Linked DNA regions of Oryctolagus cuniculus. The protein of the gene in region 5 interacts with the protein of the main gene of each other region in a pairwise test. Links are inferred from orthologs where the notes say so. Each region holds a gene or a part of one and is shown on either strand. Other genes may lie near its edges.

Region 1 (3,500 bases), on a different chromosome or scaffold from region 5:
ATTTCTGATCAGATGCATTTATCAGCTCCTAATGTCTCTCCTTCCTCATTCACTTCCTCTTCCGTGACTGACAGAATAAGCTAAGCACGGACATACAGACATGGAAATGCATTATTATTTTTTTTACCACAGTTAAAAAAAGAAAAAAAAGAAAGAAAAAAATGCACAATCTTTGGAACAAAAGAATTAAAGGCAGAAATTTAAAGGAAAAATACATATTCAAAGAACATAGTGAGGTATAAAAAAGTATTCTCTTTTTTTTGTGTTTTTTTTTGTGTGTGTGTGTTTGCTTTCCTCTTCATCTTGCTATAGAGTTCCTCTACTTAGTAAATATTGCAATAGCCAGGCCTCATGGACTGGGGGCTGTCCCACTTGCAGGGTCTCACGTCACTTCAGTAGGGGGCAAATCGGCTGTAGCCACCTCGGTATAAACTCGCCTGCAGTGATTAAAAACATAAAAATAATTAAACGGTTGGTGAGAGAAAACATGAAAAATGAAGAAAAACGTCCCGCAAAAGGATCTGGAAAGAGGTTTCCTTCAGAGCCAAGACAACCAATCAGACACTGCCCCACGCAGGGCCAGCGAAGAGCTTCGCCCGTGGGCATGCGGCCCAGCACCCAGCACACCCTGCTGACCAGACGCTCTCGAGGGAGCACGGTGACGTCCATCAGCCCAGAAGCAGGCCTGACACTGTTAAAACGAGTTCTGCAAAGAGTGTGCTTTGTGCCAGCGGGGCTCGAGGCCGACCTGGTCGACCGCTCCATCCCAGCCAAAGACAGGTGCGGATGCCTCCTCCTCCCACCATGGAGCACTCTGACCAGGCCACTGCCTTTGGCAAGTGCAGTTCTGTCCTATGTAAGGTGGTTCTGTATCCAAACCCGAGTCAGTCTTTTCAATTAGCAAAGTCTATTTCCTATTCCATCTATACAATACGCCAACCAGGTTGTGTCTTGACACACATGAACTTGTATCTATACAATACGCCAACCAGGTTGTGTCTTGACATACATGAACTTGTATCTATACAATACGCCAACCAGGTTGTGTCTTGACACACATGAACTTGTATCTGTAGCGGGGGTTTTAGTGATTGATCCCAAAAGTTCTCCTGTTTTCTCAAATGATGTCATCTAATGGTCTATCTCTTCGGCCAGAAGTCCCCAGTACGGGACTTGCATCATGGGGGCGCCAGGGCAGGCCTCAGGAGCGCCCCCGAGTGTCCTCGTGCTGTGTGTGCTACCTCAGTCTAAGTGCTTTCGGCTTCCAGGGCCTGCTACGGGCCAGCCGCAGCCATCTACCGAGAAACCACGCTGTCCTACTCCAATCCGGCCTGTTTCACACTTCATTCTGCCTCACTCGGATCAGACAACCCAGCTGCACTGGCTGGAGACAACGCGTGCCTCCGGGAGGTGTCCCTGTCTCCTGTCACGGCTGGGGAGTCCCAGCTACGCCAGCCAGGGCGCTGGTCAGGAGGCGTGCTCCACCTGAGTGCCACAGACTTGCAGACTTCCGAGAGCGAGTCCTGCCACAACTGCTGCGGACAAAGTGACCTGAGAAGTGACCCTTGGCGATGCCGAGGGCCAGGTGCCAGGAGGCTTCAGAGAAGCAGACATTCCTTGGCACCTGCGTCTGGAACGCAGACATACCACGTTTTTTGAAAAGCTCTGTGAAAACTGGAGAGCCTTATGCCCCCAACCCAAGCCTCTGCCAACGCCCATGGATAGCACTGCGCCACAGAAGGCACCTGGAACGTGGACAGAGTAACCGTCCACTCGCTCCCTCTCTTCTCCACCGAGTGATGCCCTTACGCAGGCTCTCACGGCTTCCTTCTCTCCGCTGCCCCAGGCAGGCCACGTGGCCACGGCACGGCATGGGGAGGGGACGGAGCGGGGGCTCTACTGTGTTGGCAGTGGGTGAGGGGCCGGATTCGTTACCTGCCTAGATCTTTCCCGTCAGCGGGCACAAGTTAGGGCTCAAGACAGAAAGGTCCACATACTCACCACAGCGCCAACTCCATAGCTAGCGGCAGGGGCAAGGGCATGGTAGGGGTCGGCTGTGTACACCCTGCCATAGCTGAAAAGGAGAAACACAGTCAGAGGCTGGGAGCTACCGAACTGCAAGGGCAGCTGTGGGAGACGCGCGGGTCACTCGGACCGGGCTGTTGTCAGGAGGACTGGCAAGGATGGGTGAAACCTCTCCCGCTTCTACTCGCAGGGCGGTGACTGACACACCCTGAAGGGCATCTAGAAACCAGAGTAGATGCGGGTTCGAGGTGAAGAACGGGGGGGGGGGGGGGGGGGCTGGGGTTCAAGTCACAGGGGGGGGGGGATTTGGGCCCCGTCTGGGCTGGCGGCAGCCTGACGGAGGAAGCGCTGTGGCAGATGGCAGAGGCAGGAAGGGGCGTGGTGCCTGGGCCGGGGCCCCGCCCTACGTACCCGTCGCTGTAGGCGGCAGCGGCGGCGGCCGCGGCTGTGGCTGCGGTCGCAGTAGCGGGCTGTGCGTATCTGTAGGCTGCATATCCACCCTACAGGAGAGAGGAGGACTGACTTTACAGACACGCTTCCCCCGGGCCAGGCAAACACGCACCCGCCCACGCGCATACACACACGTGTGGACACAGGGACAGACACGAACACGGACAACATATGGGAAGAGCATGTTTCAAACTGCCTCGGTCTGCATGTTATGGTTCTGAGAAAATGCGATCCATTCAGCGCAGGGACTTGCTTTCGTCTGTGACGCAGCACACTGTGCACGTGGGACCTGCTGCACGTGAGCAAGGAAGTAGCAGCTTGGATCTTTCTCGCGTCACAGTCTTGGCTGGGAATTTCAACAGTGAAAATGTCAGGGCAGGTGTTTGGCGCAGCAGTTAAGACGCGACTTGGGATGCCCGTGCCCGGTCACACTAACAGAGTCAGGGCCTGGCTCTGCTCACTCCTGATTCCAGCTCCCTGTGCAGCCTGGGAGGCAGTGGACATGGCCCTAGCAGTTGAGGGCATGACAAGAACATGGGAGATGTGGATTAGAGTCTCTGGGAGGGGGGGGTGAACCAGTGGACGAGAGCTCGCTCTGATGCTTACTATTTCTCTGCCTTTCAAATAAAAAGAAAAAACAATGGGAAAATAGTCATGGGACGCTGGGGAACGCTAACTGACAAGGAATGTACATCAGAGTTAAGCACACCCCCATTAAGTGGACATGTGTTAACTCCAGGTGCTCTGATGTGTGCTTGGATTGAGTCGCTGCTGGGAGACCACAGCACGTAGCTCTGCTCCATCCAACCCAGGAGGGCTTTGTCAAGAGGCTACGATGATGAGGCAACATTTAGGAAGGTACACCACAGAGCAGGGGTCGGCAAACTTTGGCCTGTGAGTCAAGGCAGCTTGCACCTGTCTTTGAAAGTAGCTGTGACATAGACCACATGGCCTACAAAACTAAACTATTAACCTTGGCCCTCTGTGGACAAAGTCTGCCGACACGACCTGCACTTCCACCTGGG
Region 2 (4,160 bases), on a different chromosome or scaffold from region 5:
TTCACCTTGTCACTAACAGTTCTAAAAATTACTTATGAAAGATATTTATAAAAATTCTATAAAACTTACCATTTTTCTTCTTGATAGTTCCAGGGAGTTCTTTTTAACTTCTCCGAGTCTTAAGAGAAGCTCAAGAATAAGTCTATTCCCAAAAAGAAGAAAGAATTAAGGTCATTTTCCTGCTGTCTTCATTCACAGAGGCTCATCTTTATTGTAAATAAGAAAAAGCCTGGGGTGGTATCCCATGTAACAAAAATCCAGTTACAGAAGTGATGAGACCCTATGGAATGAAGCCCAGCAATCTGCTACTTCTACTCACTCTTCTCTAAGAGCCTCTTTGCAAGTCCAATAAGCCAGGTACATTCCCACCTTAGAATCCAGGCACTGGCTGGCAACACTAACACTAACACTTTCTTACAGCTAATTTCCTTACCTCTAGGTCTCTCCTCAAATGTCAAGTCTTACTTACCTCACAGCCCTATTTAAACAGCTGCAGGAGCCAGCACTGTGGCTAGTAGGTTAGGGCTCTGCCTGCTGCCTGCCATCCCATGTGGGCGCGGGTTCGAGTCCCGGCTGCTCCACTTGCAATCCAGCTCCCAGCTTGTGGTGTGGGGAAGCAGCAGAGGATGGCCCAAGCGCTTGGGCCTCTGCACCCACGTAGGAGATCGGGAGAAGGCTCCTGGCTCCCGGCTTCGGATCAGCTCAGCTCCGGCCATTGCGGCCATTTGGGGGAGCGAACCACCGAATGGAAGATTCTCTCTCTCTCTCTGCAACTGTCTTTCAAATAAATAAAAATAAACAAATGTTTAAAAATACAGTGCTCGAAACCCAGGACCTGTACTGTTTTCTCTTCCCAAATTACTTATCACTAACATACTAAACATACTAAATCCTTTCCTTACTTATTCTGCCGTTCCAGCAACACATTTGCCACACAGCACGTTCACTCCAAGTGTCCCAAGAACTAACAGTGCAATACAGGGCTCAGCAAGCCCTTGAAAAAGTAAATGAAAGAATGAATGAAGTTGCCCCACACTTACCCACTTCGGTCAGCACAGCCGTTGTTAAACAGCGAAGATGCAATTGCAGAAGCCTGGACAAGTCTTTCGGTTCTCAATTACGAGTTTGGGGGCCACCGGAAGTCGGGCGCGGGACCCATTAGAGAGAGCCTTCTTACCTCCTCTTTCCTCCCTTCTTCTAATATCAAACCAAAATGACTAGCACTAGGGAAACAATGTGATTTATCCGCTAATTTGAAATTTGACGGCGAGGTGCAGCTCTGTTAACTGCACTGGAGTCCGGAGCATAACCCGGAACTACCCGCCAAACTCAGGCAGTGTTTTGGGTACGACTGTAAAACAGGAGGGACCAACTTCCGCCCTGTTCCTCGCTGCCTATAGCCGAAGGCCAGGAGAGCCGGCTCGGGACGGGAAGTGGTGGCTACGGAGGTGTGCCCGGACTCGTGAGTAGTGGGCAATTTAAACCCGAAGAGAGGAGTTGTGGCAGGGTAGGAGATGACTGTTAGACGTGGGTGCTGCAGAAAAAGAGGGCACAAAACTGCCCTGCTGAACGAGCGCAGAGGGCAGTGGTGGGGCGGGGTTCCCGAGGACCTACACACTGTGCCTTCTGACCCTTCACTGCCTGGGAAAGGCTTGAAGTAGCACTGGAGTGAGCTGGAGACGAAGCAAGGCAGAGTCGTTTGCAGGTCGTATTGGCTAGCGATAACACAGGGGCTCTAGGACAGGCATTGTTCCTGCCTTGTGTTTAAATCTCGCCTGCGTACTACGAGCTGGGCGTTTTTATATTCGTCTTTTTACAGGGCAGAACCTCAGAAGTCAGGTACTTTGCCCGTGGTGGCACAGGTGTGGCCGAGGACTGCGGTCTGGCCTCCGTCAGTGCAGTTCACCAGCGTCCTGGGCTGCCACCCACTGTTCTCGCTGCCTGTGGCTCCGGGCTTGGAGCCGCCCGTTCTCTCGTGGCGGTGTTTCACCGCCTTCTTTCCAAGCGCTCTTTCACGTGTAAACGACGGAAACCCTTCGCGGTGGCACGCCGGCTTTGGAGCTGGCCAGATTTACAAGAGTTGGGAGAGTGGATTAGTATCAGGATATGTAATTGGAGGGTGGAAGTGGTGTCAGAACCATTAGATCTTCCAAGACCTTGCGTGGTTTTGGAAAGTGGTTTTGGTTTCAAAGTTGCCCCTCTTCCAGGCCAGCTCTCTGCCGTGGCCAGGGAGTGCAGTGGAGGATGGCCCAAGTGCTTGGGCCCTGCACCCCATGGGAGACCAGGAGAGCACCTGGCTTCTGCCATCGGATCAGCGTGGTGCGCCGGCCGCAGCGCGCTGGCCGCGGCGGCCATTGGAGGGTGAACCAACGGCAAAGGAAGACCTTTCTCTCTGTCTCTCTCTCTCTCATTGTCCATTCTGCCTGTCAAAGAGAGAAAGAGAGAAAGAGAGAGAGAGAGAAAGAGAGAAAGAAAGAGAGAAAGAAAGAGAGAAAGAGAGAAAGAGAGAGAGAGAGAGAAAGAGAGAAAGAGGGAAAGAGAGAAAGAGAGAAAGAAAGAATTAACCAGGGGTGAGCATTTTGGCATAGTGGTTAGGATGCTGCTTAGGACTCTGGCATTCTATTCTGAAATGCCTGGATTCAAGCCCCAGCTTCTGATTCCGGTTCCCTGCCAATGTACCCCTGGGAGGCAGCAGTGGTGGGTCAAGTCCTTGGGTCCCTGCCACCCATGGGGGAGACCTAGATTGAGTTCTAGGCTTCTGGCTTCCATCTTGTGGTCATTTGAATAAAATATGAAAGTAAATAACAGTGTAAAAAGTAATATATTGAGTATCCACATCCTATTAAAATATTTTTGCAATAGACATTGTGAAAAAATTTATTTTTGCTATCACTGTGTTATGCTTATTCATTAAATTTATAGTTGGCTATATTTCTTGTATTTCACTGTAGTAACAAAAAGCTAATGTACACTCTGGAGGACCTGTGAAGTAGGTTATAGTCTCCATTTTTTATTTTACTTTTTACAACATTTATTTGAAACCCAGAGTTAGAGAGAGAGATCTTCCATCTGCTGGTTCATTCCCCAGATGGCCACAATGGCCTTGGCTGGGCCAGTCTGAAGCCAGGAGTTAGGAATTCCATCTGGATCTCCCATGTGGGTGGCAAAGGTCCAAGCACTTGGTCCATTTTTCACTGCTTTCTCCGGGCGCATTAGCAGGCAGCTGGATCAGAAGTGGAGCAACTAGAATTGAGGATGGCGGCCTTGGAAGAGGCAGCTTAACCCACTGTGCTGCAACGCTGGCCCCAGTCTCTGTTTTTCAGATGAGCAAACAAAAAAGCTACAAGAGGTTAAATGACTGAGCTAAGTGGCAGAGGCAGTATTTGAACCCAGGTTAGTATGACAGCAGCTCTTTGACTCAGATGCTTTGAAGCCTCGGAGGTGCAGGCCTGAACTGTACATGTGTACTCTTCTCTGTGTTTGACTTCAGAAACTGAGCGTTGCCTGCTTGCTGTATGTTGTCATCTTGTGCACGCCTGGCCCCCTCGACAGTCCGGCTTGTCCATTCTCTGAACTGCAGTTCTTCCCGTTCCTTCATGGATCTGAAGGCGCTCATCTCCTCCTTGAATGACTTTGCATCCCTGTCTTTTGCTGAAAGTTGGGACAATGTTGGGTTGCTGGTGGAACCAAGCCCACCACATACTGTGAATACACTCTTCCTGACCAATGACTTGACTGAGCCAGTGATGGAGGAGGCTCTGCAAAAGAAGGCGGATCTCATCCTTTCCTACCATCCACCCATCTTCCTACCCATGAAGCGCATAACCTGGAAGTCCTGGAAGGAGCGCCTGGTGATCCGGGCTTTGGAGAACAGAGTTGCCATCTACTCTCCTCACACAGCCTATGACGCTGCACCCCAGGGAGTGAACAACTGGCTGTCCAAAGGGCTCGGTGAGAAGCCTCTTGTTCTTTCATATTTGATACTTTCTCTACAAATACTTTGAAATTTTAGAATGTCTTTCCAGTAGAGTTTTAATGTTTTAGGGGTAAGCAGGGTATTCTATTTTTATATACTTTGAAATAATGTTGCTGAAATATGGCAATTAAATTGCCTTTGAGAAATGAAACATCTTTTACCCTTAATGAGTGAGGAGAGAGCA
Region 3 (4,299 bases), on a different chromosome or scaffold from region 5:
CACCCATGGACCACCACGAAATGGACTTCTCCCCCGAGGCGAAGCAAAATTCCAAACATCATGTGCGTCTGAGGAAGGGGCAATCTCAGTGCAGAGAGAAGGGAACAGAGCAAAGGGCAGTTCTACTATTGCACCAAGCACCAACCGGAGTCCTCCTGTCAGCAGCAGCCACAGGCTCTCGTGGCCATCTGCCATCATATTACAGGAGACTACAGGCCAAGGCACCTCCCTCTTCCCAGGGCTCTAAAGCGCCATCTGTTCCCAAGGGGAAACCAATGGGGGGAGGCGAGGGGACAGATTCCAAAGCCACTGGAAGGGAGATGAAGCAGCCAACGTCAGGGGCAGGCGTCTGGCAGTGATTAACACCCTCCTTGGCCTCTCATTCTCAGTCTTCCATTCCAGCTCCCTGCTAATGCGCCTGGGAAAGTAGCAGAGGATGGCCCAAGTGCTTGGGTCCCTACACCCACGTGGGAGACCCGGAAGAAGCTCCTGGCTCCTGGCTGGCCCAGCCCTGGCCATTGCGGCCATTTAAGGAATGAGCCAGTGGATGGAAGATCTCTCTCCTCCTCTCCATGTCTTCCTTTCAAATTAATTAATTAAAAAAAAAAAAATCCTGCTTCCATTGCATATGGAAGATCTCTGTCTCTGTGTCAAATAAATTTAAAAAAATATCAAAGTCGTGCCAATCTCATCTAGACAAAGATGCTGCTCTCAGGATGTGTGCAAGCTCATGCAAGAGATGTCAGAAGTCAGTAAAGAATAGCAACTTACTCACGTGCCCACTTCCCTTCCTGGCTAACCCGCTAAGAGAAAGGGTAGCAACTTTCTCACGGGTCAGTTCGTCAAAAGTTAAAGAAGGGCCCGGACAACTACAGCTGCAGAACGAGCCTTATCTTTCAGGTAGGGCGGCATGGTCAAACCGCGATGCACTGGAAGCCGAAAGCTTGGATCCGGCTTGCGCTCTATCTTGAATTATCTTCAAGGCTCGGGACAAGTCAAACCCTGGCGTTGGATTTCCAAATCTGAGAAATGGGCAAGTTGGGTTGGTTAACTTCTGCTCTGTGCGTTATGGTTGCCCAGAGGGTGCGCCTCGCCCGAGGACTGCTCGGCCTTGCAGGGCGGGGCGAGGAGAGCAAGAAACCAGACTCAAGACAGGGCCCTGGGGCAGGGCCCGACCCTACAAAACAGGGGCTATGAGAGGGAGCAAGGGCCACGGCTTCGCCCCTACCTGCCGCCTGCCAATTCCTCGATCATCCAAATCACGCCCCGCAGCCTCGGCCGCAGCTCACTGCCACCTACTCCAGCCTGGCGCCCCGGGCGGGCCTGGCTCAATCCGTCCCACCATGCCCCGCCAGCCGCAGCGCCTGCCAATGGACCCGGACCCGCCGCCTGCCCATCCTCAACCCTAGGCGCAGGCGCAGGCGCAGGCACACGAGCCCGAAGTTCCGCCCCCGGCCTTCTCCCGGGGAAACCTGGGAAATGGAGTTTGCCCTGCAGGAGGCGTGTCGCCGGGCACGTGACAAAGCCCGCCAATTGGCACGTTCCTTACTGCAGCACTGTGTCTGGGTTCGGCCAACGAGACGTCGGCTTCGTTTCCATCCGGGCTCTGGGACAGTGGCAGTCATGGCGCCACCTGTAAGGTACTGCATCCCCGGTAAGTGCACGGCTCCCGTACGGAGTCCCGGCTAGGGCCAGAGGCAGGAAGGCAGGACGCCTAGCAGCCTCTGGGGACCAGTGACCGATGCAGCGCTCTTTCCGCAGGCGAACGTCTGTGTAACTTGGAGGAGGGCAGCCCAGGCAGCGGCACCTACACACGGCACGGATACATCTTTTCTTCCCTCGCCGGCTGTCTAACGAAGACCAGCGAGAACGGCGCGGTACGCGGGGCGGCTGGCCATCTCCCTTCTTTGTCATGGACTGCCCTTGAGTTCCGGCCCTTAGGCCCGGGTAGGGCAGGCGCGTCCCTGTAGAACGACTTGGTCTCGGTTGGCCGTGGGCGCCGCACACCGGTCGTGTGGACCTCGCGCGGTTGGGGCTGCCGACCCCTAGGGGCAGCTGCGAGCTGAGAGTGACCCCGGCCAATCCGGCAGCCAGCCGAATCCCGCCCGAGTAGTCCCGACCTGTCCGTCTTCATCCGGCTCGGCGGCACTGCCCGCAGTGCAGTTGGCTTGCTTCCCCCGTGTCTCCTGCCATCCGCCTGAACGCGCGCCTCTCCTCGGTCTATGTAACTCTGACCTCGTTCAACTAGCCTCTCGTATCACTTTTTGGAAGGGATTTTGGCGGGGGTGGGGGTGGGGGAGGTTGAGTCTTGTTTTTATTTTGTTAAACTCACTTCCGAGCACTTGTTTCAGCCTGCAAACGCCCAAAGTTCCACGCAAGCAGGCCGCACCACCCACCTTACCTGCAGTGCCCGGCACAAGGCAGATGGTCAGTTGAATACATGAGCGATGTTGTCCTGGCCAGTTCCAGAGATCAAACCAGGACCAGCTCCCGATCAGATACGCAGTCTTGGAAGGAGCAGCTTAAAGATGGGTAGCACAGGAGAAAAAGGATTCAGAATTAGAACGTGCTTGCTCAGAAAGAAAGCCCTACAGATATTCTCTAAAGATAGAAGGAAACCAGTATCCAGTATTATAAAACACTTAGAAATGTTAGCCGGGCAATAAAATAAGAAATAGAAACAGTGCGACTTTGGAGGTCAGAATCAAATCCATGGCTACAGGTAATATAGTGGTGTACTGAGAAATTCCAAGTCACCAAAAAACCAACTCTGCTCTGGAATGGTTAACTTATGTCTTCTACAGCAGCCTTGCCAGGGCCCCCGGGGCTCTTCCTAATGGAAGACCCTCTGTCCTGGACTGTAAATGAATCCATAGTCCATCTGCCTTGTGACCTCAACTCTGTGCCACAGCATTCCTGTCGAACTCTCCAGCCACACTTTACTCAGGGCTTAGCCAGAACATTCATTTTTTACTGTTCTCTTTGTAGCTCCCGGTAGTGTCTGTGATGAGAGAAGCGGAATCCCAATTACTTCCAGATGTGGGCTCTATTGTAACATGTAAGGTAAGTTGTTACCAGCCTCCATGCTTAGGACACCAACCCAGTGCACAGAGCATGATCATTCTTGAACTGCATTGTCCAGTCTGATAGCCACTAGCCTCATATGGCTATTTAAATTTAACAGTGTCAGGGCAAGCATATGACCTAGCGGCTAAGACATCGTTGAAGTACCTGTATCGCATGTTGGAATGCTTGGGTTTGATCCCTGGCTCCATCTGCTGACTTCAGTTTCCTGCTAATGCAGTCTCTGGCAGGCAGCAGGTGGTGGCCCAAGTAGTTAGGCTACTACCACCATGTGGGAGACCTGGATTAAGTACTTGACTCCCAGCCTCAGCCACTGCAGGCACTTAAGGAATAAATCAGTGGGTGGAAGTGTTCTCTTTCTTTCTGTCTCTCAAATAAATATTTCAAAATATGCTAGACAGTACTAACATTTCATTAAGCATACTAACCACTCGCCACATTTCCAGCTCTCAGTAGCTACTGTGGCTAGTGGTTGCTAATTTGGTCAGCACATGGTATTTCTATCATCACAGAATGTCTCACTGGACTGAGTGGTCTGGAGATTTCTAGGAAAATGAACAAAATTTGGGTATGCATAGTTATTTGAGCCGATTCCCTGACTTTGTGGTTCCCTCCAACATCTAGGAAATGGGTGAAAAGGAGACCTAATTTTGAACATCTGTGGCTGCGGCCTTTTTCTGCAGAGAAGCAAAAGACTTTATTCTCTGGAATTCCTATTAAATGTAAAGTCTTTTTTTTTTTTTTTTTTTTTTTGACAGGCAGAGTAGACAGTGAGAGAGAGAGACAGAGAGAAAGGTCTTCCTTTGCCGTTGGTTCACCCTCCAATGGCCGCCGCAGCTAGCATGCTGCGGCCGGCGCACAGCGCTGATCCGAAGCCAGGAGCCAGGTGCTTCTCCTGGTCTCCCATGGGGTGCAGGGCCCAAGCACCTGGGTCATCCTCCACTGCACTCCCGGGCCACAGCAGAGAGCTGGCCTGGAAGAGGGGCAACCGGGACAGAATCTGGTGCCCCAACTGGGACTAGAACCTGGTGTGCCGGCGCCACAGGCGGAGGATTAGCCTAGTGAGCCGCGGCGCCGGCCGAGTCTTTTTTTTTTTTAAGATTTTATTTGTTTATTTGAAGGGGCAGAGTTAGAGAGAGAGAGATGGGAAAAGATCTTGCATCTGCTTGTTCACTCCCCAAATGGCTGCAATGGCCAGGTCTAGGCCAGACCAAA
Region 4 (4,053 bases), on a different chromosome or scaffold from region 5:
AGCGGGAGGCGGCGCTGAACGAACTAGTTGCGAGTTGTAAGGTTATACATTTGTAGCAGTCAAGTTTAGACGCATAACTGGACCCATAAGACAAAAGGCTCCAGGCCCAGAAGAAATGGAAATTTTCTTCATAATGATGTTAGCATCCATGTTGTAAGCCTACAGCGGGCAGGAGGGTGTGAGGCGTGCCCCCCACACTCCGGGGTAACTGCACCCATTTCACGGACGAGAAAATAAAGTAGGCAGTCCCCCAGAGGCGCGGCGGGAACACTAGGCGGGCGCCTCGCTTTGCCCGAATGCCTTGACCCTCCAGGGCTGCCTGCCAAGACTCGTTTAGAAAAGTGCCCACTGTGTGCCGGGGGGCTCATTTAAACAGCCGCGGGATTAGCCGGATAAACAGGGCTCGGTCTCCTTTGCCAGGAAGGCGCTCCCCAAAGAGAGGCCAGGTGAACAATCAACTCCAGAGCGGGCCGGCGGGGGGCTCGCGGGGGGCTCACGGGGGCCCGGCTGTCCCCGGCGTTCCTCCGTCCCGGGCCTCCAAGCCCTCGCCCCGAGGGCGCGACCCGCGTCTCAGCCCCTACCGGCGAGGAGCCCGGGGGCGCGCAGCTCCCTCGTGGAAAGCAGGCAAACAAAAGTGGCACATCCCAGCCCCCGGTCCGCGCACGGCCAGGGCCCGGCTCCCCGAAGCCCCCTCTCCGAGCCGGGGCGCGGGGGACGCCGCGTGCGCCCGGGGACCCGGCTCTCCAGCCTCCCTTGCTCAGCCCGCCCGGCCCTCGCTCTGCCGTCGAGCCGGGGCCGGGGTCGGCCGCTTCCGCTCCGCGCCGCCGCCCCTCCCCGGCGCGCGCCATCCGGCCCGGGCCGCGCCGACTCCGCGGCCCCTCCTCCCGCCGGGGGGCTTCGGCGGCCCCCGTCCCGTCCCTGCGGGCTGACGGCGGCAGCCCACGTCCAGGGAGGGCGGAGGGAGGCGGAGAGGGAGGGGAGAGCGGAGAGGGGAGGGAGGGAGGCGAGAGAAAGGAGCTGCAGCGGACTCGGACTTCCCAAAGCCGGCCAGGAGCGCGCAGCCAGCGGCTCTCCGCGTCCCAGCGTCCCAGCCGCGGCCGGCGCCTCCTCCTCCTCCTCCTCCTCTCCGGCCGCCCCATCCCTTCCTTCCAGCCTCGCTCTGCTCCGGCAGCGGCAGCCCCCAGCCCCAGCTCTCCGCGCTCACTCCTGGGACGCGCGCCCTCGCCCCATCCTCTCTTCCTCCCTCCCTCCCTTCCTTCCTTCCCTCGCGCCCGCCCTCCCGCCCCAGGTCTCCCTCCCGGTCGCGATTGTCTCCGCGCCCCGCTCGGCCGGCCCGCGCCCGCGCCCTGCCCGCACTTCCTCCCCGAGTCGCCCGCCGCCGTCGTCTGCGCGCCGCGGGAGCCCAGCCCGAGCCTTCGCAGCCCCGCGGCGCCCGCCCGAGGCAGCCCCGGCGCCCCGGGGAAGGCAGAAGCGGGCGAGCGCGCCCTCGCCCAGCCCCGCGCCCCAGCCCTGCCCGGCGACGAAGGACCGGGAAGATGAACAACGGCGGCAAAGCCGAGAAGGAGAACACCCCGAGCGAGGCCAACCTCCAGGAGGAAGAGGTAGCGGTGGCCCGGGCGGGCGGCGGGGCGCGTCCGGGGGCCGGCGCGCCGTGGCCCCGGCTGGGTGCGTCTCCAGGGCGCGGGTTCTGGGGGTGTCCGCGCACCCTGCGCTGCGTGACTTGCAGAACTTTGCGGAGACACCCTCCAAGTAGAATGCTCGGCTTTGTGTGCCCGGGATTTTAAAAGCGGAATCGAGAGCTGACTCCTGGGTGACCTCAGGTTACTGGGACCCGAGGGTCAGGGCTTCTCTGAGCGCCAGGGGCTGGAAGCCGGCGGGAGGGAGTGCGTGTGTCTGTGTGCGTGCGTGCGGGCGGCTTTGGGAAGGAGTTGGGGAGAAGCTCTGTTAGGGGCTGGCGCTGGCGCCGGTGTGAAAAGTTCTTGGCCAAGTCTCTCCGGAGCCGGGGCGTGTGTGGATTCATCGATAACTCGCCGCCCGCGAGGCGGGAACCCCCGAACCCCGGGCTGTGGTAGACTTCGGGGGCGGGGTGTGGATGTGGGGAGCAGAATGAGAGGGGCCGAAAGCGTCGCTCCCGGAATGCTGGCCAGGACGCTGCGGTAGGACTTTGATTTGGGTTGTGCGTCCGGGATCCTGGAGGGGAGACAGCTTGCAGTTGGGGGGCACTTGCCTTTGGCAAACGCGAAGCCGAGGAAGTGTGGGGAAGGGGTGTGCGGGACGCACGTTCCAGAACTCCGTAGTTAGGGGATGATTGTGGGGTTTCTCAAATGACTGTTCCCGCAGCCCCAGAAACAGTGCCTCCGCTCACTTGCTGAGTTCCCTCGAAGTTGGGGCTCTCAGCCTTCCGCCAAGAGCTCGCGCGCGTGTGTGCGGGAGCCAGAGAGCGTGCGGTGCGCGCGGGCGGCGAGGCGGTGCCGCAGCGCCGGGCCCGAGAGTTGGAAGTGGACCTCGTGCAGGAATCCCTCAGCCCTTTTAAGTCGTCCACGTGTAAAATTGGAGCTATTTAATTAAATAGGAGAGACAGGCGAAGACCATGCAAAACAATGCAAAAGGTAGCGCCGTGGAGCAGCGTTGTCACCTGGGTGAGTTAGTAAGCTGAGAATTGGCTCCTGGAGGAAATCGCCTGTTTTATGACAAAGCTTTATTTTGAAAAGCTGTTTGCCCCTTCTTGTTTGGTGCCTGCAAATGTAGGACTACTCGTGACAGTGCTTTTAAAAAGACACCAAGGCTGGAATTCCAAATTCCACTTTCTGGCTTCTCTACTGTTTAGTTTATTTTCCCTGTCCTTTAAAAACTGAAAAATGATGGCAAATTTGCATTTTCAGGAATTGGCATGTGCAGCTAATTCACTTAACCCGTCAAGAGAATCATTGCTTCAGAAACCTTTCTGTTCCACTTAGAGTGGCAATCTGGCCGCTCCTAAGTGTGAGAGTGTATCTTGTGAAACAATCTTTCTCTGTTAACCAGTTGAGGAAACTTGTAGTTAAGAGAAAGTTCATCAGACTGCAGATTTTTTTCTTTTTCTTTTGGTAGTAGCAAAATGGGCTCAGGTGTCTCGAAAACCATATCCAATTAACTTAAAATCGAATGGACGACAGAAGTCAGATTTTTCTCTTGACCCATGCCAGGTGAACTGCCGCCAGGATTTGCCTGGATGGGCTCGGTTATCGCGAGGTTGTGGGTCCCTGTGATCAGAGGCCATCCAAGTCGCAGGCATTGCTTCTAGTTTCCCCAGCAGCGTTCCTTTCCGGGTGGGAAAGGCGTGGGCTCCTCCAGGTGTAGGTCTTTTTAGCAAAACGCTTGTTACTTAAAAAATAAGACAGGAGGTAGGAAGGTTTCAGAACCCAGGTTGTATAAGAAGCGAGAGTATACACTGCGGATACACCCTGACCAGAGAGGGTTTATGGTTGACATTCTGGTTTTGAAACACTAACCTCCTCTCTCTTTCTCCCCCTCCCCTTTTTTTTCCTAACCCTGAAAGCCACAAGTTAAATAAATATGGCATTTGGTGGGTGCCATTCAGTGAGCTTAGCATTGCACAAAATCCCACTGCACTGGCCGCTTTGCCTGCCCACCCAGAGGAGCAGCGGTTTGTTTTCAGAAAGCTTTGGCAATGGGCCGCAGGAGACAGGGCATACACGTGTAACACGGACACGCACACACCAGGACAGGAGGGCTGTTTCTGGTGACTTGTGAACGGCAGTGGACAGTGAGTTCCAATCACCGTGAGAAAACGGTCGATGTTGTGGTTGTCAGGGTGCTTCGGCTGTTTGCCACCTTGTGCAGTCCAAGTTGTGTCATTTTCTATGGAAATGAGTTCCTTTTATCATCCAGTGTATTTTAACCCCGGTTAAGAGTTTCTGATGCCGACCCTGAAAAAGATGCCTAAATCCCCGTTTAGCTCCAGTTGGATAGAATGAGCAGTCCAGCATTTAGGAGAAATTTCTGCAGTTTTTGGTGGTGGGAGTTTTTGAGAACTTGAGCAGAATACACTTT
Region 5 (4,290 bases):
CAGCAGAGCTCTCCACCAGGATCTGACCACCGTGGTCCCTCCCACCAAGACAGGAGCCCTGCGGGCAAGCAGAGGGCTCCACCCAACACCCCCCACCCCCCTTCACATTGCTGACGTCCAGCATGGGCCAAGTGCTCAGTGCCTGATCCCTGGGAGCAAACCAAGAATGGCATCCCGTCCCTGGGAAGGTAAGCAACTAGGATGGCTGTGGAGGTCTGTTTTTCCATCGGACAGCTAGTTCCCTGGGGACCTGGATTTCCTTGGAAAGTCCCAGAAGGCAGAAGTGACTGCAGAGAGCAAACCAATTCCCTTAGCGTGAAGACAGGGAAACCTGTGCAAGACTACAGGGCAGGCAGATCTCAGCTCTGTGCCCTTTCTACCACACTGACACAGAGAAAATACCTAGAAAATGAGTGCGCTCCAAGAGCTGGGTTTTTAAAAGCCTTGAGTCTACAAGTGAGGGTGCTGCAGTGGGTAAAGGTCCCACTCAGGAAGCCCACATCCCAGACTGGTGTCCATGGGCTTCCTGCTAACGCACTTGGGAGGCAGCAAGTGATGACTCAAGAACCAGGCTTCCCGCCACCCACACAGGAGACCAGAATCCAGTTCTGGGCTCCTGGCTTTGGCAGCTAGTATTTGGGCAGTGAACCAACAGGTGGAAGACTCCTCTCTGCCTTTTAAATAAACAAATATTTAAAAAAAGTAAAGTCTACATGTCTCTGCCTTTCCCTCTCTGTAACTCTGCCTTTCAAATAACCGTTTTTTAAAAAAATATGTTTAAAAAGTCCACAGGCGACTTGAAACTGTATACCAAAAGCAGCAAGATACAGAGAACAATGTAGTTCACGCACAAAGCTGAGAAAAACATCTCGTTCCCTGTTGGAGACCAAGCCAGTGCATGGGCAACCACTCTCACGCAAAGGGTGGGAAGAGGCGCACAGGTGCACTGGGCCAGAGCACAGCTCAGGGGAGGAGCGTGCAGACCGAGTAAAGGGAGAGACATGTGCGCAGGCCCGGTATGGCCGGAAAGTTCTAGAGAACGAGCCTTTAGCCAGACAAAATGGCCGAAAGCGGTGCGCATGCGCAGATAGATTGAACAAGGGTGGGGTTGGGGGGAGAGTACTCTGGGCGGGGCCTCTAGTTCCCCCCCACCACCCGCCAGGGAAGGAAGGGTGCGCAGGCACTCATGGGTTGAACCGAGTTGGGGTTCGGGGAGCGTACTCTGGGCTGGGCCTCTAGTCTCCCGGCCAGGGAAGGAAGGGTGCGCAGGCGCAGTGATAGCTGAGCCACGCCCACCTGCCAGAAAGTCTTGAAGGAAGAGGACGCCCGTGTGAGACAGGAGCCGGAAGAGCAGCGCAGGCGCAGTAGGGCTGGTCTCTCCCTGGAGTCCCCAGGGGGAGCCACCGCTAAACGCCCCGGGAGCCATCTTTTTTAAGGCCAAAACTACTCCCTAAATATTAAAAGTCCTTTCGATCTCCCTTTCTCTTTTGCTTTTTCTAAGAAAACACCCATCCCAAATCCTCGTTCAGAGAAGGGTTGCTCAGAGCCAAGCATCTTCCCCACCTCGAGCCCCCAGGCCCCGCCAGCCCCTACCCCAGCGGCCTGTTCTGTGGGTTCGGGTCTCGGGCCACGAGCTCGGGGAGCAGGGAGCCCGCAGCCGGGAGAGGAGCGGACGCGGCGCCAAGGCAGGGCGAGGTGCGGGAATCTTACCGAAATCCGCGAACGGCGGGCTGGGCGGGGGCCGCAGCGGCCTGCACAGCTCCAGGTGGCCAGGGCCGCCCAGGCCTGCTGCCTCCAGCCCGAGCTGGGCCGCCACGTGGCCGCGGCCGCCCAGGACAGGCTGGAAGGCGCTCGGGCCCGGGCTGGGGCCCCGCGGCGGCCTCTCGCAAAAGTAGGCAGCCGCGCGGCCCTCGGGCTCCGGCCGGAGATCTCCCGAAGCCGCCGGCGGAGGCAGCAGGTGGAGGCCTGGGCCCTGGCTGGCGGCCGCGGCCCCAGCCACCGCCCCGGCGGCCAGCTCAGGCGCCTGAGGGCCCAGGGCCAGCTCCTGCTCCTCCTCCGAGGCCTGCTTCCTGAGCACCTTCTGCGCGGCCATGATCTTCTGGCGCTCGGTGATCAGGCAGCACTTGTCGCAGGTGCACTGCTTCCAGCCGCACTTTCCCGCGTGGCCCTTGACGGGCACCAGGAAGCCGTGGTTGCGGCACCTGGAGCACTTGGGGGCGCGCAGCATCTTGTCGGCCAGTTTAGCAGCGTCTGCCTTCATCGTGCAACCGCCACCTCGGGGAGCCGCGGAGCAAGTGGCGCAGCAGTGAACTGCGCCCCACAAGTCCCTGGTGCTGGGGACAGTGGATACACTTGTAGCAAACCGGCACGTAGTGCGTCCCGAGAAACGCCCAAAAACTGCCGCCAGACCCTTGCATTCTCTCGCCCTTTTTTTTTTCGGTGCAGTGCAAACGTTGGGATTTCTGTGCCTTTGGTAAGTAGGTGCAAGGGATTGGGTTAAATACATTCTTCATGGAGTGCTATTGCATGCATGTCATCTGGAATATCCGTAGTCTCAGGCATTTAATTTTTCAAACTCGATATTCCCGCCATCCCAAGACGGGAGGTACTTCGTGATTAAAAAAAAAAGGCGGAGTGATACCCAGCGGCCCACAGATTTAAAACTTTAGAAAATCGCCTCTTAGTAAACCCGTGACAGTATAAAAGCACTTTAAGAGGCAGAACGCCTTTCTCCTTCCCGAGGCTGCTGCTTCTGCGGAAGCTCATGTCTCCTCCTTGTAGAGAAACAGCCGTTCACGGGGAGGCTTCTAGAATATTCTCGGGCACTCTGTGCCGCGTGGGGGTTGCTGAAGGGTGTGTCCTTCCAGTCATTCCGGCTGGGGAAGAGTGTTGGGATAGGAATCCGTTTCTGGAAATGGTGCTTTTCTGTTGCTGATGCCTTCGGGAGGCAAACATGCTTAGAATGTTTTCAAGTAAAATAAACCAAGGGTATTTTGGCACTGGCTTGAAGCATTGCTTAACTCTTTGGTTGTCGCTCTGAAACAATCCAGGTCTTGGGAAAAGTCGGCACAGGCTTCATAGTTTACCCAGGGGCACTAAATCAATACGTATTCTTGATTTCTCTCTCTTTTTTAATAGAAATTGGTGAATCCCTGAGGTCCTTTTATTTGGGCAAAGAAAAAAAAAAAAAAAGAGGTGTGGGATGGGCCGCTAACCGCTGACAGGCTTCTAATCGTAGGCTGACCCTACTGAAGGAGGCAGTGAAGGTTAGCCGCTGGCTGAAGTGTGTGTCCGCTACTGCCCTCTCTCTGTTCAGGATGCTCTTCCTGGCTAGCATGGCAGGTGCGGCCTAGCTGTGCACCCTGCCGTCTCACCAGCTGCCTGGGGATAGGAAACCATTGCCTTTCTGAGACCCGTGAGAGGGTAGAAAGCTGAGAGGAGGTTTGTAGTCTTTTTCTGCTTAAAAGAATATTCTTCATCTTAATAACAGGGCAAAAGTAGATGTCACCTGTATTCTTTAGGAATGCTGCCGTTAGCTTTGCATTCATTTAAAGAGGGCTACCTTTGTCTCTGCTTCACTCTTAACACTATATATTTTTTAAAATTATTTATATTCATCCGAGAGGCAGACTGACAGACGGAGGTCCCATCTACTGGTTCACTCCCATTTAAATGTCCATAACAGGGCAGGCGCTGTGGTACAGCAGGTTGGGCTATGGCTATAGCTGCAGCACCAGCATCCCATGTGGGCTCTGGTTCAAGTCCAGGCTGTTTCACTTCCAGTCCAGCTCCCTGCTAGTATACCTGGGAGGGCCCAAGTCTTTGGGCTCCTGCACCACGTGCAGGACCTGGAGGAAGCTCCTGGCTCCTGGCTTCCACCTGGCTCACCCCTGGTCATCGCAGCCATTTAGGGAGTGAACCAGCAGATGGAAGATTCTCTCTCTCTCTCTCTCTCTCTCTCTCTGTAAGTCTACATTTCAAATAAATATATACATCTTAAAAAAAATAGCGGTGCTGAGCCAGGCCACAGCCAGGAACCAGGAACTCTTTCTGGGTCTCCCACATGAGTGGCAGGAATCCAGATACTCAAGCGATCACCTGCTGCCTCCCAGGGTGTACGTTAGGTGGAAGCTGGAATCAGGAGCAGGACTGGGACTCGAACCCAAATACTTCCATGGGGGATGCAGACATCTTAACAACTAGATCAAAGGCCCACCCCTACATGATTTTTTTTTTTTATTTTAAAAGCATGATCCTTTGGATAAAGGATAGGCAAGCTCTTTTCCTCAA
Region 6 (3,500 bases), on a different chromosome or scaffold from region 5:
TCCTCATCTCTCCCATGTGATCGATTACCAGAGTTAGCCCACAGTGACTACAGCCCCCATCCATGCTGGTGCATGAAGTGCACAAAGGATCTGTGTGGTCCTCAGTGTGAGCAAGGAACCCTCTTTAGTGACCCTCCCCAATCTGTCAGCAACTTCTGAGCCTATGATGCCATACACAGTGATTGCCTAGAGACTCAGCTATACCCCCGTCCTATCATGCAATCACAGAATTCTCACAGTTGCTGAATGCAAGGCTCTCACGGCCAAGGGGTGCAGAGGATCCACTTGACCCCATGAGCCTGCACTGTCCATGGAGAGAACAGAGACATTCCCAGAGCCAGCTGCTTGTGGAGATTACACCTTGGCAATTGGAGCCTGTGATAGGTCAAGAGGTTGGGGCACCTCACAGTCCTGTGTAGGTGCGCAGCCCCCTGTCAACCCTCCCAGCCAGGTTCAAAGTCAGCAGGGAATGTGGCTTTTCTCATCTTTTAATTGTTTTTCCATGAACCTTTGAAATTCCCTCATATTTCATCATTTCTGTGTATAGATTTTACCTAATATATACTTGAACAAAACTAATTTTTTAAAGTTTCAAGAGATATTAAACTAAAAAAAAGATAGATACATCTTATCATTCTCCCTTCCTATTTTTATTAAAAGAATATATCATTTACTTTATGATTAAGTTAAATATTAGACTATTTTAGAAAATGTATTCACATTTAACTGAATTGTAGGTGGTAGGCAACAGAGACTAGGGTACTTAGTAAATGAACAGAATTGTGTGTATGAGTTCTTGTTAAATTTGTGATTTTTTTTTTTAGAGAAAGTGATTATAGAATTTAAAATTTTCTGCTGGGTCTCATGTATCATAATGGTTAAAGCCACCTCCTGCAATGCTGGCATCCCATATGTATGCTGGTTCATGTCCTGAATGCTCCACTTCCCATCCATCTCCATGCTCCTGGCCTAGGAAAAGCAGCCAAAGATGGCTCAAGTGTTTGGGCCCCTGTTACACACATGGGAGACCTGAAAGAAGTTCCTGGCTTTGTCCTGGCCCAGCTCAGGCCATTGAGTCCACTTGGAAGTGAATCGGTGGATGCAATATCTCTGTCTCCCTCTCTAACTCTGACTTTAAATAAATAAATCTTTTCAAACAAGTGATGATAGCTAGTACTTGTTGAGCGTTGCTAAGTGCCAGGCACTATTCTGAAGTTTCATTTGGATTGATTAATTCAGTCTTACCGGTCACCCTGGGATGTAGATAAATGGCATAATGAATATTTAAAGAAGATGTCCGTAATAACCTGCTTGTGACCACAGATATCACTCTGTCTTCATTTCTACTGCAACTATTAAACTGTCCCCTTATTTTTTATTTTCATAAAAACATTCCCACAGGTAGCATCAAGAAATCTGAATGTCTTCAAGTGAACAAGGGAGAATTTGTCTTCCAAGAACTCAGGGGATTATTATTTTTACTAAAAGAAAGGAGACTGTGCTTAGAACTGACTTCTGAATGTGGGTAGACACTCCACTGCATTGCTGGTGAACCAAACAGGAGAGTCTTATGTAGCATTAGCAATTTGCATTACAAAATGCTGCCTAGAACCTGTCTTTAACTCCCCCATGTATGTTGTACTCTGAAACAAAATAGGTTCTTCCAAATATAGCACACATTTCTTAGGTTGGATAGAAGTAGACGTTTCCTCACATGAACTTGATTTTCTCTTCTAGTTCCGTCACCAGGACAAATTCAGCACAGAGTCCACAGCGTGGGACACTTTCCCGTGTCTGTACGACAACCTCTTAAAGCCACAGCCTACGTGAGTCCCACCGTTCAAGGCAGCAGTAACATGCCTTTGTCCAGTGGCTTGCAGTTGTATTCCAACACAGGAATCCCCACACCAAACAAAGCTGCAGCGTCTGGGACAATGGGCCGCAGCGCGCTTCCAAGACCTTCTTTGGCAATAAATGGGAGTAATCTGCCTCGAAGCAAAATTGCACAACCTGTTAGAAGGTGAGCGTCTCTCTGCATAACTTCACTTACAGATTGGAATTTAAAATTGCCCCCAGGAAGAATCCGGATTTTCCTTTTGGTTCGGTTTGACTTTGGTAGGTCACTGCCCTCTGTGGCCGGAGTTACGTCCTCCTCTGTCTTAGAAAGCGATGGGTCTGGTTGTGTGGTCAGGTCCCCTTCCCTGTGACATCATGCTCTTCTCTTCCTCTCTTATCACTCACTCTTTCCTGTAGCTGTCTGCTTTTTCTTTAATTTCCTGAATGAGCTGCATCTCCGGTGCTTTTGTGTTTCTCTTCCCTGCTATGACTTGCCATCCGCTTCCTTCAGGTCTTTGTCCAATGACTTTCCACCCTAAGTTGCCAGCTCCATGAGGGCTGGTGACAGTTGTCTCATTTGTTTCCTACCATATATCCCCAGTGCCAAGAACTATGCCTGGCAGATAAGAGGTCTCCAATGCATGTTGAGTCAATTACTTTTGACCAAAATATGGAAAAATATCTCAGGTACATCTGCTTATGTATACCCTCCCTCACACTTGAGGTTTAAAAAACATCATAGAGACATTGAGCTGGGCTTTGTAAGAGTAGTCAGTTCAGTCTTGCTGGTAAGTTCCATATGGTCCCAGGTGAATTTTTTCCTTACCTTCAAAATTCCATGTTCTTTGCAGAGGACATTTTGGCCCAGCTCCTCCTGATTATGATGTCCACTTCTCCAACTGAGTCTCTTCAAGTGGCATGGGGCTGACACTTGAGACAGCTGTTCATCTACTGCCTGGGACAGCCATCCCGTATCAGAGAGCCTGAGGTTGAGTCCTGGCTCCACTTTTTGGCTTTTTTTCTAATTCAGACCCCAGGAGGTAGCAGTGATGGCTCAAGTAATTGGGCTCCTGCCATCTACATGGGAGACCTGGGTTGAGTTCTTTGCCATGAGATGAGTGGTCGGTCTATCTCTCTACCTCTTAAACACAATAAATAAAATTTAAAATTACAAATTTATAAAAGTGGATTGAGGAGAGAGTAGGAGATAAGAAAATTGCAAAAGTAGACAGAGACAACTCTTATAAGAAATTAGAATATGAGGGAGGAGTGGGAGGGAACCACTGTAGAAGTTTAAAAGGTATGTAGGAGCAAGTAATTTTTTGACTTAGATATTGATGTGCACATTAGTAGTCTTGATTTTTGTCTTCTCATTATAAGTAATGGGTGCTCAGGTCAAAAACAAATTCAGAAACCAATTTTTTTAAAAAAATATTTTGGTTTGGCTGTGCACCTGTCTTTTATTTGGTATGAATGGTTAGGCAAAATACTACAAAAAAAAAATCCTATGTCTTGCCATTTCATGTATAAAAGGATTATGAATGTTTTTACATTTTTAAAGGAAATTGTTTTTCTAAATATAAAAAAATTGAATGTGACATGTGCAGGAAATAACATTTCAATAAAATGTAAGTTAATTGGAACAAAGAAGTGTACATGAATGT
Region 7 (3,500 bases), on a different chromosome or scaffold from region 5:
GGAAGAGTGAAGCGAGGGCCCCGTGCCCACGGCCCCCAGCCCCCAGCCTGCCTCCGCCTCCCGCCACAGCGTGTGACGCTGTTAGCAGCCTCCACACTTTTGGGGGAAAGACAGACTCTTGAGCCACCCAGCCTTTTCCTCATCTTTCCGTGAGGTTAAAACGTAAGTGGGCTTGGAGTAAGTGGGCTCGCGTCTTAAATGAGATCAGACAGGAGCCCCGGTGCTTTCGTGCAGTGTGACCTGGGCCAAGTGTCTTCACCTCTCTGTGCCCGGGCAGGCAGCGGGGTTGGTCTCCTGAGGCTGTGGGGTCGTGGGAGCCGGGAGCGCGGTCTGGGCCGCCAGCCACTGTGCCGCCGGGTTTGCCTTTTTACTCGGATGTGTTCAGAGCGTGTGCTAGGCGCCCTCCAGGTTCCGGGGACGCAGTGGTGCGCAGAGGGGCGAGTATCCCTGCCCCGCTGGACCTGGTGCTTTGGCAAGGCAGACAGGCGCGTGCCAAGCAGGGACGCTGCTGGAAACCGTGTCGCGGGGAAGCCGGAGGAAGATGAGGTGGCCAGGGAGGGCTTCTGGGAAGAGGTGACGTCTGAAGGGGGCTGCACCTGCACAGGGCTCGGGCAGGCCTTGGTCAGTGGGCGCTGGGAGAGGAGACTGGAGAGCAGGCAGGGCACCCAGGCCGGCAGGAACCTGGTGTGGATCCTGCAGAGTGGGGCATGGTGCTGCCCCTCCTCTGGGTCTCAGCCGGATCCCTGTGCTCTCACGGGGCAGGAGTCGGAGCCGCCCAGGGTCGCCCAGCAGGTGCCTGGCCCCGAGGCCAGGCCAGAGCCTCAGCAGGGCAGGGCCAGCTGGGAGCCCAAAGTACAGCCAGGGTGGGGCAGTGGCCCCGGGCGCCGGGCCAGAGCCTGCCCTGGGTGTGGGTGGCAGGTGTGGGCGCGGCCTTAGCCCTACCTGCCCTGCCGGGGGCAGTGGGAACCAGAAACAGCCCTGGAGGCCTGCTTCTCTGGCTTGCACCTGGTGTTTGGGCAGGGCCGGCGCAGTCCCCGGGGGGCAAGACTGCGGACCTGGGTTCGAATCCTGCCCCTGCCGCTGCTTTAGCAGTGTGTGCGGGGGCGCATCCCGGCCCTGGTCGCCTCTGAGCCGAGGGGGAGGTCATGTCCGCCCCAGGACTGCCGTGAGGGTGCCAGGCTGGGCCGTGTCAGTGGTCAGTGTCACACCCCAGCACCCGCCCGGTGGAGACAGAGCCTCTGTGGGTGTCATTCCCCGCCCCCCCAGCCGCCAACTTCCTCTTTTCAGGAAAAACCCACGGTGGGGGGCACCCAGCCGAGGCCGGCGCTTCCCCCTGGGCTGTGCGACCTTGGGCGAGTCACTTCCCCTGGGGGAGCCTGGGGTTCCTCATTGGGGGAGGGGGGCTCCGACCTCCCAGGAACGGTGGGAGGTCCCCGGCCGGCCACAGGGTGACCGCAGCACGGAAGCCGAGGCCGACCGGGCACCCAGCCCTCATTTCCCGTGTGCAGGCTCCGGCCTCGGGGCTCTGCAGGGACTTGAATCCACGCCTGCGGACGGCAGACTGGAACTCTGACCCCCTCCTGCAGAGTGGGCAGCAGGCCCCGCGTCCTCCATGCCTGTAGCCTGGGCGGCTCCTTGGTCCAAGCCCTGGGCATCACGGCCTAGGGACCCGTGTCTTGAGGCACTGGACTGTGAGCCCTGGGAGGGTGTGGCCAGGGCCATCTGGGCCACTGCTGTGTCATTGTCCCCAGTGGCACCCAACACAGGCCCGTAGTGCCCAGGGGAGCCGGAAGGATGCAGTGGGGGCCCGGCACCCCCTTGCAGTGGAGAGCAGGGGTCTGTGCTGTCCCCGGCCGGCCACAGGCCTCCCCTCCCCCTCCCCGACCTCAGCTTCCTCTTCTGCTCTGAGCAGCAGGGGGGGCATCCAAAACTTGGCAGAGAGGGAAACTGAGGTAGGGCTGGCCCCAGAGCAGCTCAGGGCACCTTCCTCCCTCCCCTGCGTCTCCATGTCTCCTCTTCCTGTTTCTCCCCATCCATCTCACACCCCCCAGGGCGCACTGGTCTCAGCTGCCCCCCGTCCAGCATCTTCTCTGCCTGGGTCTCCTGGGGGGGGGGGCTGTGTCACGCCCTCTCCCCCTCGCAGCGTCTCCCAGGGAGACCCTGGTGGCGAGGGTGACCCCGCCTCCCCTGCCCCTGGTGGCGAGGGTGACCCCGCCTCCCCTGCCCCTGGTGGCGAGGGTGACCCCGCCTCCCCTGCCCCTGGTGGCGAGGGTGACCCCGCCTCCCCTGCCCCTGGTGGTGAGGGTGACCCCGCCTCCCCTGCCCCTGGTGGCGAGGGTGACCCCGCCTCCCCTGCGCCTCCCGCAGTGAGATGGTCGTGTGCACCAGCCGGGCCAAGGTGATGCTTTACGATGACAGCAACAAGCAATGGCTCCCCGCGGGCACGGGGCCCCAGGCCTTCAGCCGCGTGCAGATCTACCACAACCCCACGGCCAATTCCTTCCGGGTCGTGGGCCGCAAGATGCAGCCGGACCAGCAGGTGCGCGTCCCCCCCGATCCCCCCCACACACTGGGGCCGCCCCCTGGGCCACCGCCCTCACCCCGCTTTCCCTGCCTCCAGGTGGTCATCAACTGTGCCATCGTCCGGGGCATCAAGTACAATCAGGCCACCCCCAACTTCCACCAGTGGCGCGACGCCCGCCAGGTCTGGGGCCTCAACTTTGGCAGCAAGGAGGACGCGGCGCAGTTCGCCGCCGGCATGGCCGAGGCCCTAGAGGCCTTGGAAGGTGGGTGCCGGCCGCCGGCTGGGGCCTCGGGTTACCCATCTCGAAAATGGAGCCGCTCGGTCGCTACTGTGGGACATCACAGGGCTCCTGTGTGGACTCCGGAGGACGCAGCCTGGTCCCAGCCCCCAGGAGCCCCCGCAGCCCGTGCTGGCTTCTGTCACCAGCCCCGGCGTCAGGAAAGCCTCCAGGCCTGCTCTCCCAGGGCTCACCTGGGGAATGTGGGTGGGGCCCGAGACTGCACAGCTCACAGCCCCCTGCGATGCCAGGGCTGCCAGCCCTGGACCTGAGGTCAGCCGCTGACCTCCGCTGCCCGCCCTGCCTCTGGGGTGTGGCATAGCCACTGTGGAACCGAAACTGCCCACACACAGAGGTGGTTGCGACTCCGGGCCCCCTGGCCACCCGGGGCTGGGCAGGACCGAGGGAGGCAAGGGGGAGGGGTCCACCTGGACTCGGCTTCCCCACTGTCCCCGGGCGTCCTGGCCGCCCTGGCAGGGGGAGTGGTGTCGCCCCTGCCCAGGGTCTGGGGGAGGAAGGAAGTGAGTGCCCCTGGGTGGGATTCCTGAGCCGGGTGGGGGAGGCCACAGGCAAGGCTGACCCCGGCTCTGTCTCCCCTGCCACCCCCAGGAGGTGGGCCTCCGCCGCCCCCAGCACCTGCCGCGTGGGCCAGCCAGAACGGCCCCTCCCCGGAAGAGGTGGAGCAGCACAAAAGGTAGG

Evidence for each region.
Region 1: the proteins of DMRTB1 (region 5) and RBFOX2 interact in a two-hybrid assay, tested with the Homo sapiens proteins (3 studies listed by BioGRID). The link is inferred for Oryctolagus cuniculus from reciprocal best matches to the Homo sapiens genes DMRTB1 and RBFOX2.
Region 2: the proteins of DMRTB1 (region 5) and NIF3L1 interact in a two-hybrid assay, tested with the Homo sapiens proteins (2 studies listed by BioGRID and IntAct). The two-hybrid records come from large-scale screens. The link is inferred for Oryctolagus cuniculus from reciprocal best matches to the Homo sapiens genes DMRTB1 and NIF3L1.
Region 3: the proteins of DMRTB1 (region 5) and EXOSC1 interact in a two-hybrid assay, tested with the Homo sapiens proteins (2 studies listed by BioGRID). The link is inferred for Oryctolagus cuniculus from reciprocal best matches to the Homo sapiens genes DMRTB1 and EXOSC1.
Region 4: the proteins of DMRTB1 (region 5) and RBPMS interact in a two-hybrid assay, tested with the Homo sapiens proteins (2 studies listed by BioGRID). The link is inferred for Oryctolagus cuniculus from reciprocal best matches to the Homo sapiens genes DMRTB1 and RBPMS.
Region 6: the proteins of DMRTB1 (region 5) and SLAIN1 interact in a two-hybrid assay, tested with the Homo sapiens proteins (2 studies listed by BioGRID). The link is inferred for Oryctolagus cuniculus from reciprocal best matches to the Homo sapiens genes DMRTB1 and SLAIN1.
Region 7: the proteins of DMRTB1 (region 5) and VASP interact in a two-hybrid assay, tested with the Homo sapiens proteins (2 studies listed by BioGRID and IntAct). The two-hybrid records come from large-scale screens. The link is inferred for Oryctolagus cuniculus from reciprocal best matches to the Homo sapiens genes DMRTB1 and VASP.

The regions. Positions count from the first base shown.
Region 1 is NC_091442.1:113,182,136-113,185,635, forward strand, and holds part of RBFOX2 (RNA binding protein fox-1 homolog 2), read right to left. Parts: intron 2,526-3,500; coding exon 2,437-2,525; intron 2,075-2,436; coding exon 2,002-2,074; intron 438-2,001; coding exon 383-437; 3' UTR 1-382. UniProt on the Homo sapiens protein: RNA-binding protein that regulates alternative splicing events by binding to 5'-UGCAUGU-3' elements. Prevents binding of U2AF2 to the 3'-splice site.
Region 2 is NC_091434.1:39,117,357-39,121,516, reverse strand, and holds the start of NIF3L1 (NIF3-like protein 1), read left to right. Parts: upstream 1-1,360; 5' UTR 1,361-1,462; exon of another isoform or gene 1,463-1,507; intron 1,508-3,216; exon of another isoform or gene 3,217-3,309; 5' UTR 3,310-3,393; intron 3,394-3,490; 5' UTR 3,491-3,515; coding exon 3,516-3,951; intron 3,952-4,160. Other genes in the region: PPIL3 (peptidyl-prolyl cis-trans isomerase-like 3), read right to left, coding at 70-72. UniProt on the Homo sapiens protein: May function as a transcriptional corepressor through its interaction with COPS2, negatively regulating the expression of genes involved in neuronal differentiation.
Region 3 is NC_091446.1:32,396,776-32,401,074, forward strand, and holds the start of EXOSC1 (exosome complex component CSL4), read left to right. Parts: upstream 1-1,499; 5' UTR 1,500-1,623; coding exon 1,624-1,654; intron 1,655-1,761; coding exon 1,762-1,877; intron 1,878-2,988; coding exon 2,989-3,063; intron 3,064-4,299. UniProt on the Homo sapiens protein: Non-catalytic component of the RNA exosome complex which has 3'->5' exoribonuclease activity and participates in a multitude of cellular RNA processing and degradation events.
Region 4 is NC_091433.1:80,425,921-80,429,973, forward strand, and holds the start of RBPMS (RNA-binding protein with multiple splicing), read left to right. Parts: upstream 1-1,253; 5' UTR 1,254-1,535; coding exon 1,536-1,601; intron 1,602-4,053. Other genes in the region: collagen alpha-2(I) chain-like, read right to left, coding at 369-1,139.
Region 5 is NC_091438.1:119,539,930-119,544,219, forward strand, and holds the start of DMRTB1 (doublesex- and mab-3-related transcription factor B1), read right to left. Parts: upstream 2,801-4,290; 5' UTR 2,507-2,800; coding exon 1,711-2,506; intron 1-1,710.
Region 6 is NC_091440.1:34,625,649-34,629,148, reverse strand, and holds part of SLAIN1 (SLAIN motif-containing protein 1), read left to right. Parts: intron 1-1,737; coding exon 1,738-2,020; intron 2,021-3,500. UniProt on the Homo sapiens protein: Microtubule plus-end tracking protein that might be involved in the regulation of cytoplasmic microtubule dynamics, microtubule organization and microtubule elongation.
Region 7 is NC_091449.1:11,380,990-11,384,489, reverse strand, and holds part of VASP (vasodilator-stimulated phosphoprotein), read left to right. Parts: intron 1-2,367; coding exon 2,368-2,539; intron 2,540-2,620; coding exon 2,621-2,786; intron 2,787-3,410; coding exon 3,411-3,495; intron 3,496-3,500. UniProt on the Homo sapiens protein: Ena/VASP proteins are actin-associated proteins involved in a range of processes dependent on cytoskeleton remodeling and cell polarity such as axon guidance, lamellipodial and filopodial dynamics, platelet activation and cell migration.